Coturnix japonica: one gene and its partners. The protein of the gene in region 2 interacts with the protein of the main gene of each other region in a pairwise test. Links are inferred from orthologs where the notes say so. Each region holds a gene or a part of one and is shown on either strand. Other genes may lie near its edges.

What was found.
Region 1: the proteins of AGTRAP (region 2) and SENP2 interact in binary tests that used the Homo sapiens proteins (3 or more experiments, as listed by UniProt). The two-hybrid records come from large-scale screens. The link is inferred for Coturnix japonica from reciprocal best matches to the Homo sapiens genes AGTRAP and SENP2.
Region 3: the proteins of AGTRAP (region 2) and MIEF1 interact in binary tests that used the Homo sapiens proteins (3 or more experiments, as listed by UniProt). The two-hybrid records come from large-scale screens. The link is inferred for Coturnix japonica from reciprocal best matches to the Homo sapiens genes AGTRAP and MIEF1.

What each region holds. Positions count from the first base shown.
Region 1 is NC_029524.1:3,359,003-3,362,649, forward strand, and holds part of SENP2 (sentrin-specific protease 2), read right to left. Parts: intron 2,910-3,647; coding exon 2,864-2,909; intron 2,628-2,863; coding exon 2,567-2,627; intron 2,427-2,566; coding exon 2,286-2,426; intron 2,187-2,285; coding exon 2,055-2,186; intron 1,770-2,054; coding exon 1,566-1,769; intron 1,435-1,565; coding exon 1,355-1,434; intron 994-1,354; coding exon 909-993; intron 656-908; coding exon 560-655; intron 331-559; coding exon 268-330; 3' UTR 1-267. UniProt on the Homo sapiens protein: Protease that catalyzes two essential functions in the SUMO pathway.
Region 2 is NC_029536.1:4,903,905-4,907,651, forward strand, and holds the start of AGTRAP (type-1 angiotensin II receptor-associated protein), read right to left. Parts: upstream 2,877-3,747; 5' UTR 1,785-2,876; coding exon 1,674-1,784; intron 1,400-1,673; exon of another isoform or gene 1,200-1,399; intron 1-1,199. UniProt on the Homo sapiens protein: Appears to be a negative regulator of type-1 angiotensin II receptor-mediated signaling by regulating receptor internalization as well as mechanism of receptor desensitization such as phosphorylation.
Region 3 is NC_029516.1:46,186,673-46,190,419, reverse strand, and holds the start of MIEF1 (mitochondrial dynamics protein MID51), read left to right. Parts: upstream 1-1,471; 5' UTR 1,472-2,154; intron 2,155-2,674; 5' UTR 2,675-2,679; coding exon 2,680-2,823; intron 2,824-2,944; coding exon 2,945-3,125; intron 3,126-3,747. UniProt on the Homo sapiens protein: Mitochondrial outer membrane protein which regulates mitochondrial fission/fusion dynamics.

The DNA of each region.
Region 1 (3,647 bases), on a different chromosome or scaffold from region 2:
CACCATTTCTTCTCAACCACTCCCCTGGTGAAGTCCCAGCAAACTCTCAAAGACTTTCACTCAAGGCACATCAGCTCATTTCAAAGAGAGGCACTGTCTCCGAAATTGAGGAAAAAACAGTTAAACAATACTTTATAGCTTAAAACAGGAACATTTTCAAGTGGCTGCGGCCTGGTTCAATAAGGCATCGCAGAAATAAATAATATGACAAAATATAAGTTAGTGGCTCCGAGGTCATCTGCGGCGATACTCGTAACGCTTCACGTCTCACAGCAGCTGCTGGTGGATTATTTCCCACACCATCCTCTTGCGGAAGTAAGGCATGTTTTCCTGAAAAGAAGAAGAGAACAAACCCATTAAATATGATAGCAGAAATTGACAGAAAATACATACCGTGTTCTTTCACACCAAGTTCATTTTAAGCACCGTCACCGCGGCCACTGTGAGTACAGCGTGGACTGCTATGTCTCACCCCCGCTTTGGTGCTGCAGGGATGAAACACAACCACGTTTATTTGACTATTAACAACAGCTTAAGGCAAACTCTAACTTTGGCTCACCTGAGTGAAGGTGAAGGGTTTGTCTCTGGAGACGTAATCTGCGTATTTGCACATAAAAACTCCGCAGTCACTTCCATTTGATTGCTGAGGAATTTCCTAAAGAATGGAAAGAAGGTGGAGAATTTTTTCCATCTTAAAAGAAAAGCGACTTGGAGGCAGCACCACCCACCACCACCACCACATTTTCTTGTGGAACCAACATGCACAGCCCATCCCCACACACAAGGAGTACACCCAGTGAACCACACCTTCACACCCCTTTAAAGCTTAGACTAAGTAAGAAAGCATTAAGGCCTTTGTAATGAGGAGTTAGGGGTTCACATTTCAGATCCCGGTAGTGCTCACATACATGAGGCTCCATGCTGCGAAGAGTCCACTCTGAAGATGACAGCTTGACTTTTTGTTTCTCCCAGCTTTCTTCTTGCAGGTATTGGCTGTTTAAAACAAAATAAAACAACTCTTCACCTCTGTATTTTAGGCTGACAAAAAAGAGATGCTGAAAAGACCACAGGAAGCCAAATGGCTGGACAATAAAACATCAGTGGATATTTAGTGCCATAAGGCATTTGGAGGAGCAATTCAAACTTTAAGTCTGCATACACTTCATGGTGATGCTTTGCACATGCACATACTGGAAACCCAGACATGTATCACACATGGAGGAGGTGATGTGAGAACGGTTTCTATTCCCTAGCTACAAACAAAGCAAAGGCTTCCAGTTGTGTTACAGATACAGAAACCTAAAAGCCTTCTCTGAGCTCACAGTGCAAAAGCACTGAGCGAGCAGTTACTTACAGTACAGTCTCACAAATCTTGTTTCCTTTTTTTCCAAACGAGTCAAAGTAGGTGATAGTTTTCTTTCTGACATCGACAACCTGTTAATGGAAAGTAACCATGAGACACCCCACAAGCCTATGCAGCAAACAGAACAAAAGCTGGCCGACATTTCTTGCTTGCTTGCTTTCTACCTGCTTAATTCTTCAATTGAAATAAAAGCATGACTCACCACCAAGGTCCAGTGTGATCTCAGGTGAATAGGAATCAAAATGATGTCCTGGTTGAACAGATTCACGTTTCTGGTCCATCTTCTCACTGCTCTGTAGCCATCAGAATCAAGTTTGGGATAGAAGAAAGTACTAAAAGCATAGACGGTTGGATAGTCATCTTTTTTGCCTCTTTCCACCAGAAGATTCATGTAGAAGTTAACGACCTGCATGGTAAAAAGCAATCATGAGATGTAAGAGACTGCTCACCAAAATAAAAACCAAAAAGCACAAAACCAGAGAAGCAATGCTTCCAGAAGACTAACTTCTAGACCAACCCAAGAAATACAGGAGCTTCTAGAAACACTCAGCCGTTATGTACCTAAAATAAGACTCGACAGATGTTTATAAGTTCTGCAGACCTCAAATAACTGCAATCAGACCTGTATGCATTGAGGACATTTAAAAAGACATACACAATGGGAACATCACAGTGCCACAGCTAGTTTTACCTCATCATTTAGCCAGCAAAGTTCATTCAGTGTATGGATGTCATCACGGGTGAGACTGAGTCTGAAGGCGCTGCTCATGATCTCCTCCCCTTTACCTTCGCCCAGCGCAGCCATGATCTCTCTCTCCATGGCCTGAAGCAAGCAATTGAATGGGAAAGAACCTGTGAGCACACTAACCTATGTTCTAATTCTAGCTTTCTAATTTGAACAACAGACTGATAATTGTGGTACCTCTGTGAGCGGAGGAAAGATTTCTCTTTTTTTAGGTCTTGGGAATTTCTTTTCTTCCACATCATAGACAGATGGTTTTTTGGTCTGAACAGGTGCCAGGTGCAATTCAAAGGAGGCCTCCTCTGAGCTTTCATCTCCACACTGTCTCAGTTAGACAAAAAGAAGTCAAGCTAGCAAGCAAATTTGCTAGGGGATTACACAAAGTCTTGTTCATGTATAAAACTGGAAGTGTGTTTTGAATATGCATCCATACTCCACATACATCTAAATAACAAGCTTACCCCTGTGCTGGCTTGTTTCTCCTGTCCTTTCTTGTCTTCCTTTTCTTCTGGTGTGTAGTAACTGCAAAAGGAAATAGAGAGAAGCAGGCTGTAGTAATATCATCCTGCATAGTTCTTATACATCCATCTTCTGGTTAAGGAATGCGTTACCATAGATCAGCTATACAAAAATCTCTCTCACTGGCTGTGCTTACTGCAACAAGACACGAGCCACATCATTGAGATGAGTATGACTATTCTCTTTCTGGACACTGCTGGAACACACAGAACAAAACCAAAGAGGAATCAAGACTCTACCTGGTCTCATCGTTTTCCAGAGACTGGCTTGAGCTGCTGTCATCATCTGCACAAAAAAGCATACAAGAAGTCAACAGTTAATGTACATCAGGCAAGCATGACTCTCAGATTATGATGGAAAAGACAAAAAAAAACCCAACAACCCTGCTAATAATAACTACAAGGTTATGAAGTTTAAACTCTGTCAAATAGGCCTCCTAGATATTATGTGAAAGTGTATGAGTTCTGATGTCCAGGATCTAAAGTCACTTTCAGTAGTTACATTCTTCAGCTTACCAGAAAAGATGATCTACAAGAGAAACTAACTTGTTATAAAGAGAGGTGCTGTGCTAATCCAGGAAAGAAGCAATCTGCTGGTTTATAGGAACTGCTGAGTCCCAGCCTGAACCACTGATTGAGCACCTGGGAAAGGACCTGGCCAGCCCGGGGAGCACAGGTGAAAGCAATGAAGCTGTGAGACTGGAAGAGGTGGAGCCTGGCTGCACCTCTCTTAGACCCCGTTTAAGGGCTGACTGCCAGGGGGGGAAAGATCCCTGGTCGGAGATCACTCCCTTGTGAGCCTACATCTTCAGAGACAGGTGAGTGCTTTTTCTTTTGTAACATTATCTCATTTCATGCTAGTCCCTTTTGCTATTTCATTTCTATATCGCCTTTCTGCTGTGTTAATCTTTCAGACTGTAACAGCTGGCTTAGTGTTCAAGCTCTGATATCATGGATGTGGTCATATTGTTCTAAGAGCCAATGTAAGTTACAGCAAGTCTGGCATAGCACAAAACATACCTTC
Region 2 (3,747 bases):
TATGACCAATCTACTATCCCACCACCAAGAAGTCCATGAATTGTCATGACTGCAGCTCCCAGCATTTTCACTGTGAATTCCCCTTTACCCCCTTCCAACCTGCCTCGCTCCAATATTAACAGACCTGAAGTCATCTTCTAGGAACCTAAAGACCCAATCCTGCCATGCTACACCACTCTTTTCACTTCCAGGGACAACACTAGTGCCCAAATACTGTCACATTTATTGACTCAAAATGTCTACACCTGCTCTAACTTCACACAGAACTCGTGGCTTCAGGAAAGTTAATGACCCATGAAGCTGTGACGTGAGTGAAACCAGAAGGAGCGATGCAGCTGCAATGGCTTGGACTGTCCAGCCAAGATATCACAACATAGATATCTTATCATAAGGCAAAGCCCTGGTTGCACTGCAGCACCCTATCACATCTGCTGAGCATTCAGCACAGACCGCCTGAACATCAAACGCTGCTCAAACAGGTTTTTAATAATGACTATTTTTTTTAATTGCTCATGAAAGCCTACAAAATGCTCCAGCACCACCCGCTGCTTCCCCCTCCTCCCAGATTGCACCGCAGAGACCAGGCAGAAACTGCTAATCAGGAAAATACAAGATGTTCTTGGATAAGAACGGAGACATGCAAATAGCATTCACCCAAGAGACGATCACAACATCAGGGAAATTCTTAATTAGGTAGTATTTAATTGCACGTTATGCACTCACAAGACCCCTCAAGGCTCAGCAGTTAATATAATTACGCAGAGTGGGTTTTATTATATATATATATATATTAAGCTGTCTAGATCAATATTGCAGTTATTAAATTAAGAAGCTGGCTCCATCACCAGCATAACGTCAGGTAAGCAAGGGCTGGTAATCCAGGGGGCTGCTGGAAGAAAAACAAAGCATTTCCTTCCGAGCTATTAGTCTGAGTTATCTGACAGCTCTTCAGGGCACTATGGAATTGGCTGATGGTCTCGGTATGCTTTCACACAGAAAACGGAGTGTTAATGAAAAACATTATTTAAAGCTGCAGTCATTACGTGAGATAATTTGCAGGCAGCCTCCTGGTGAGACAGAAGAATTCATTCCCATCTGTTCAGGGGGATATATCCATACCTAAGAGCATACATTGCTTTTTTGAAGAGTTCTTTGGTACAGGAACTCATTCTGCCTGCCTGGAGGTATTCAGAACCCACCTGGATGCTTTCCTCTGCAGCCTCCTTTGGGGTGCTTGCTTTAGCAGGGGAGCAGCACTAGATAATCTCCAAAGTGGTTGCCAACTCTTTGAGTTGATCTACTTGATCTACTTTTCAAGTTAGCTTTGCTTTGAGCAGGAGGCTGGGCTAGGTGACATACGTAGGTCTCTTCCAATCAAAATGATGCTAGGATTCCAGAGCTAGCACATAAAAACACCCGAGAACAAAACATCTGATTTCAGGCATATTCATTGTAGGGCCTTTTCCAAGCTCAAGCAAACTTGATATTTCAAGATTCAGAATAGCTATTGCAACAATCCTAGCCATCAAACACTCACTGCAATAATAAGGTGATGCTGCTTTCCACACTTTGCTGAGCATTACTACCAGAGCTGAGCCAGTAGATGCTGCTCCATGAGTGAATTCTTCATCTACTGCAGGTCAAGGCCTGCCATATTAATGCTACAGTCCTACCTGCGGGTTAAAGAGGGACCTCAAGGCTGAGACTTTGCTACAATCTGGCACAAATGCTGCATTCACGCAGGTCTTTGGAAGTTTTCTTCTTCTGTCATTAGGTTTATCCATCTGATCACAGAGAAACTGTAACCAGTTAACGCCAATGCATAGAAGTAGTGTGTTATTCCCAATCCCTCTCTGAATGAGAACCTTGCCAACCTTTGGGTTGTGTTTCAGAGCAGTAGGCCACGACTCAGAGACAGCACAAAGATGCAGGACAATTATTAACTCACTGTGTTACAGCCCTTGAATCCCAGAACGCAGCATGGCTTAGGTTGGAGAGAACCTGAAAGATCTTTTGGATCCAATGCCCTGCCATGGGCAGGGCTGCTAATCACTAACTCAGGGCCCATCCAACATGACTCCAAGGATGGGGCATCCATAACTACTCTGGGTAACCCATTTCAGCACCACACCACCCTAACCAGTACTTTACAAAAGGTACTTCCCAATGCTGAGAACACTTTGGCCAGGTCAAAATCACTCTTACCCAGGAGGAGATTTAAGAATGCTTGCTAAAAAGCAGGGAGGAAATGCAACATTTTACTTATGTTGTCATGGTGACTCGTTCATTCATGAAGCATCTCTTTTCTTCTAGCTCCTGCAACCAAACTGCAAAGCTTTCAGCAACGCACCCAAAACCCCAACAGGGAAGCTGGGAAACAAGCAGCACATCACCCTAGAAGGCTCTGAAAGTATAACTAATGGAGGAAAAACAGGGGAAAGAGTCTAAAAGGCTTCAGTCTCACGAGCAACATGAAGAGCAAAGGGGGCCGATTTCAGCCTCTGTGTGAGGAGCTGCTTCCTCCTGAAGTTAACGGGTAACTTCCGAAGTCCTTTTATTTCCCGTTTCTCTACTAAACATCGCACAAAAGTTTACAGCCTCCCTCATTCCACGCCCTCCCCCCCTAGAAATTAAGTTAAAACACAGAACAGCAGTTTCTGTCGGTCTATACAAGCCCACAAAGCCGTCACCTTCCTGAGGTGAGTTCCCTGACCAGCACCAACTTCGCCTCCTCAGAAACCCATTAAGGATCACAGTTGGGGGATGGAGGGGGGAATTGGGAGGTAGAAGGCCGAGGGGGGGCCCACCTGGGCGACAACCCCTACTAAAAACCCCTCCACAAAAGGCAGAAACAGCCACTTCTCCCTCCACAAACACCCCCACGCCTCCACACAAGGCACCATACCAGCCTCAACGCCCACCCCCGTACTCTTTTCTCCCAGCCGACCCACCTCGCCCCACAACAGCTCAGCCCCACATAGGCTCTGCCCCATATCCCCCCCCGTACCTTGAGGCTGACGGCAGGCAGCTCCATGGCAGCGGCCCGCCCGCCCCGTGACTCCCACCGTGGGGCTGCTCCCCGGGGCCGCCCAAAGGAGGGAAGGAAGGCGGGAGCGGCCGGGACACCGCCTCCCTCAGCGCCCTGCCCCGGGGGTGGATCCCAACATGGAGGGGAACCTCGTTGGGGTTTTTGTCTCAGCTGTCAGGCTGTGAGGTGTTAGACGAGGAAGATATGGAGGATATGGAGTGTGTCCAGGGATGGGAATGGAGCTGTGTGTGGGAGCGCAGTGTTATGGGGAACAGCTGAGGGAAGGAGATGGGTCAGGCTGGGGGAGAGACCTCATTGCTCTCACAGCTCCTGAAAGGGGGTTGTGGCAAGGTGGGCTCAGCCCTTGAACTTTGTAACAGCAACAGTATGGCCTTAAGACACAGCAGGGGAGGTGCAGGTTGGGTATTAGGGACAATAAAGAAGGAGCAGCTGCCCAGGGAGCAATGGGGTCACCATCCATGGAGGTGTTCAGTGTGGAGATGTGGCACTGAGGGATGTGGGCATAGTGGGGTGGGTTGGGTTGGACTTGATCACAGAGCTCTTCCCCATCCTTAAGGAGCCTATGATTCAGAATTGGGACTCCTTCGCCTCTTGTTCTGAAGGCTTTTCCCATTTTAGAGCTGGGGAAGTTGTTAACTAAACGACCAACCCCAACCCACAGTGTACAGCTATGAATTCCTTTCCTGCCCTGTTTATAA
Region 3 (3,747 bases), on a different chromosome or scaffold from region 2:
AAGAAGGGACAGAAAGTCCCTGAAAGTCCGTAAGAGCAACCTTGCCTGGGAAGGTCAGCACATTTGGCATGTTCTACGCAGCTCAAAACAAGCTGTGCTTCAGAGGAGGGAGGTCTTGCTCTCCTGTGCCATGGTCACACCTTTGCTCTCACACTCGGTACATGCAGGAGGATCCTGAGAGGAAGCACAGTCTGACATCTTCTGCATGGGACTCGGTGGGGTGAAGGAGAGCATGGGGAGCAGGGCTGGAATCACCTGACACAGCACCACTGGTTCAAAGCCCACCCTGCTGTACATCTCGGAGCAGTTTGATACCATTTGTACTGCAACAGGGGTTCGCCACGTGTAGCTGTGAATGCTTTGATCCAGACTTTGGTGTTTCAGGGACTGGGCTTATCAGTGCACCTGTTCAGAGAACTGCTGCAAGGAGCAAAGTGTTTATGTGGCAACCCGGGGAGGAATCTGAATGGAGAGTTCAAAAATCAGTGTTGGTTCTGGTACAAGGTTAAGGGTAGGGAATATGGATATAGGAATAGGGAATCTAAAGGCTGCCTCTGATGTGCCATATAGCTCAGAGTCTAAGCAGATGATGAGGAGAAAAAAAAGAGGATGAGCAATATACTAAGCATTTTTAAATGATGACTCAAAGCTATAGACTCTATAGGAGATCGGAAAGGACTGTAAGTAAAATGCAAATGTGGCAAATGTGCAATAAGGTGCGATTGATGAGGTTTAACTTTGTCAAATGCCAAGTAAGAAATTAAAGAGATATTATGAAGCCCCAGATTGACTGTAGCAACTCGGGGAAGGGTATGAATATCACACAGATCTGGGCTCTGTGAGTGGATGCAGGTTAAAAAAGAGCACACACAAAACATCAGCATGCAGAAGGGAGAAGAGGAGAATAATATGGAAAATATGATAATGCTATTATGTAAATCAGCAGCATGGCCTCTCTGGGAATACTGTCTGCAGTTCACTCAAGCCTTTCTCGGAAAGGGCTGATTAGGGGCATGGCCAAGTCGCTCACAAAGAGAGATCAAAATGATTGGGGCTGTTTATCTCGGAAAGGAAATGAACAAGAGGAGGTCGGCACAGACCGAGCCAGACCGGAGCTTCTGGTTTTCTTCCCATTCAGTGCTATCACTGTCATATCTGTTGTCGTTAAGGACAGTGCAAAGTGATGCGGCTCTCCTCTGTCACACACAGCTTTTCTCTGGCAGTGTTGATCAGTGGAGCAGGCTGCCCTGGGGGTGCTGTTGTGGCAGACGATTGAAGGACACAGCCCGTGCCATTCATTCCCAGTCTCAACTGGGAGGAGAACTGGGTGTGTGTGCTCCTCCCGGCCGGCAGGGGGCGCACTGCCGGCGCGTTGTGTCCCTTCCCGCTCCCCGTACGTCGGAGCCCCGCCGCCAGGGGGTAGCAGCGTTTCGCCGCCATCTCCTCCCGTTCAGGCCGGAAGTCCTCCGCGCGGAGAGCGTTAGCGGCCTCGTCCCGGCCGCTCTGGGATTGGCTGGTCGTGGGGTCACGACCCGGAGGCGGATCGGCCATGTTGCTGGGTGACCCCGCGAGCGGCGGCTGTAGGATGGGGGTGCCGTGAGGCCCCGGGTGTTTCTCACGGCGCTTCCCGCTGCCTGCGGGAGGACCAGGCCGCGGGGTCCCGCTGGGTCCGTCGTAGCCGAGCTCGCGGCCCCGGCAGCTCCGGAACATCCCTCCGGGAAGGGAGCAGCGGCCCCAGCCTCCCCCTCTTTCGGTCGGCCGGCCGTTCCCCATGGCAGCGTGGTCCCGGCAGGCCGTCCTGACCCTTTACCGGGCTCTGCTGCGCGAGGGCCGCGGGCTGCGTTACACTGACCGGGATTTCTACTTGGCTTCCATCCGCCGGGAGTTTCGCAAGAACCGGGGGCTGCAGCGGCTGGAGGACAAGGAGAGGCAGCTGGAGAAGGGGCAGGCCTTCCTGCAGAGCAAGCTGGGGGGGCTGGTGTAATAGCCCCCCCCCCCCCCCCCCCAAACACACACTCTTCTTTCTAAAACACCCTCTTACCTGTCACGGCACGATGGCTGCTTCCTGCCCGCTGCTACCTTGAAACTGGCCAGAAGGTGCCTCCACAGCCGCACCAGGAGGGCTCTCCTCTCTACAAATGCTTTAGGTCGCAGGTAGGTCCCTTATGCTGATGTAACTCTGATCAGATGCAGTAGGAATGTTAGTTTTTAAATAGTAACTTGGCTTTAGAAAAGACAAATTCAGGCAGGTTCTGCCCCTTCAGCTGTTTTTGCCTCAGAATTGTGATCTTGAATCAGTTTGGGAGAACATTAACATTTCTGTTATATGGGACTTACATGAAAACCAAACCCAGCAGCCTTGAGTGCAGGAGTAACTATCAGGTGGAAGCGAGGAGTTGTTCCCTTTGTGGTGCACTGTGGTTTGCAGTGCTGACCCCTGGATGTTTTTGAAACACCTGGTGCCAGCCACTGTCTGAGAGTGGACACTCTGAAGCTCTTGATATTTTATCAAAGACAAGAGTTTGGCAGTCCATGCAGCCATATCCATGAGCGAAGTTGCAGGCCTTAGATGGAGGATGAGAGGATAAATTGGTGTAGAATGGGTTTGCTTTGGCTAAGAAGCATCAGTTAGAGTTGCCCTGTTGTGACCCATTTGTTTGATGCTCCCTTCCAGGTGAGATGGCGGGCGCTGGGCCGCGCAAAGGCAAAAAGGACGACAATGGCATTGGCACCGCCATCGACTTTGTGCTGTCCAACGCACGGCTTGTGTTGGGCGTGGGTGGAGCTGCCATGCTGGGCATTGCCACGCTGGCTGTCAAACGGGTGAGCTGATGATGTGGGGAGGGAAGAGAAAAGACATGGGATGTTGGCACTAGATGGGGGAAGAAACACAAAAACACCGGGCTCTTGTCAACTCAAACTGTGCTTGTTGATGTTCCTTTAGATGTATGATCGTGCAATCAGTGCTCCCAGCAGCCCCACTCGCTTGAACCAGTCAGGAAAGAGAAGCTGGGAAGAGCCAAATTGGTTGGGATCCTCCTCTCGCTTACTGAGCCAGGACATGAAGACTAACCTCAGCCGCTCCCTGCAGACCCTTCCCACCGACAGTTCGGCCACCGACACAGGTACAGAGCAGTACGGCATTTCCATGTTGCAGAATCATTTTGGCCTGTCAACCCTGTTAATCCTTTAAAGAAACACTGGAAGAGGAGAATGCTCTCTCTAGCCTAGTATTTTGATGCTGTTGTTTGAAGTTGATCTATTGTTAGCTTCCAGGATTAGAAGTCAGATTTGAGACCTTGAGTAATAGTCATCTCTATTGGCATTTGTCATTTCCTTTATTTCACAGACTTGAATTTTATTCTCCTTCAGACTTTTCTTTGACACTTTGTTGCTTTTCTTTGGGCCTTTCCAATTCTTTTGCCTCTTTTAAGAAAATACTTAAGCAGAGAGTCACAGAAGCCTTAGAGTTGGAAGGGATCTCTGGAGGCCATCTAGTCCAACTCCCCTGCAATTAACAGGGACAACACAGATAGATCAGGTTGCCCAGGGCCTTATCCAGTCTGACCTTGAAGGTCTCCACAGATGGGGCATCAACCACGTCACTACATAACCTGTTCCACTGCCTTACCACCCTCACTGTAAAAGATTGTTTCCTCTTATCTAACCTAAATCTCCCTGCTTTAAGCTTGACTGTACTAGTCATTTATAACATTATTTTCCATGTTATTTCTGTGATCTTTCTAA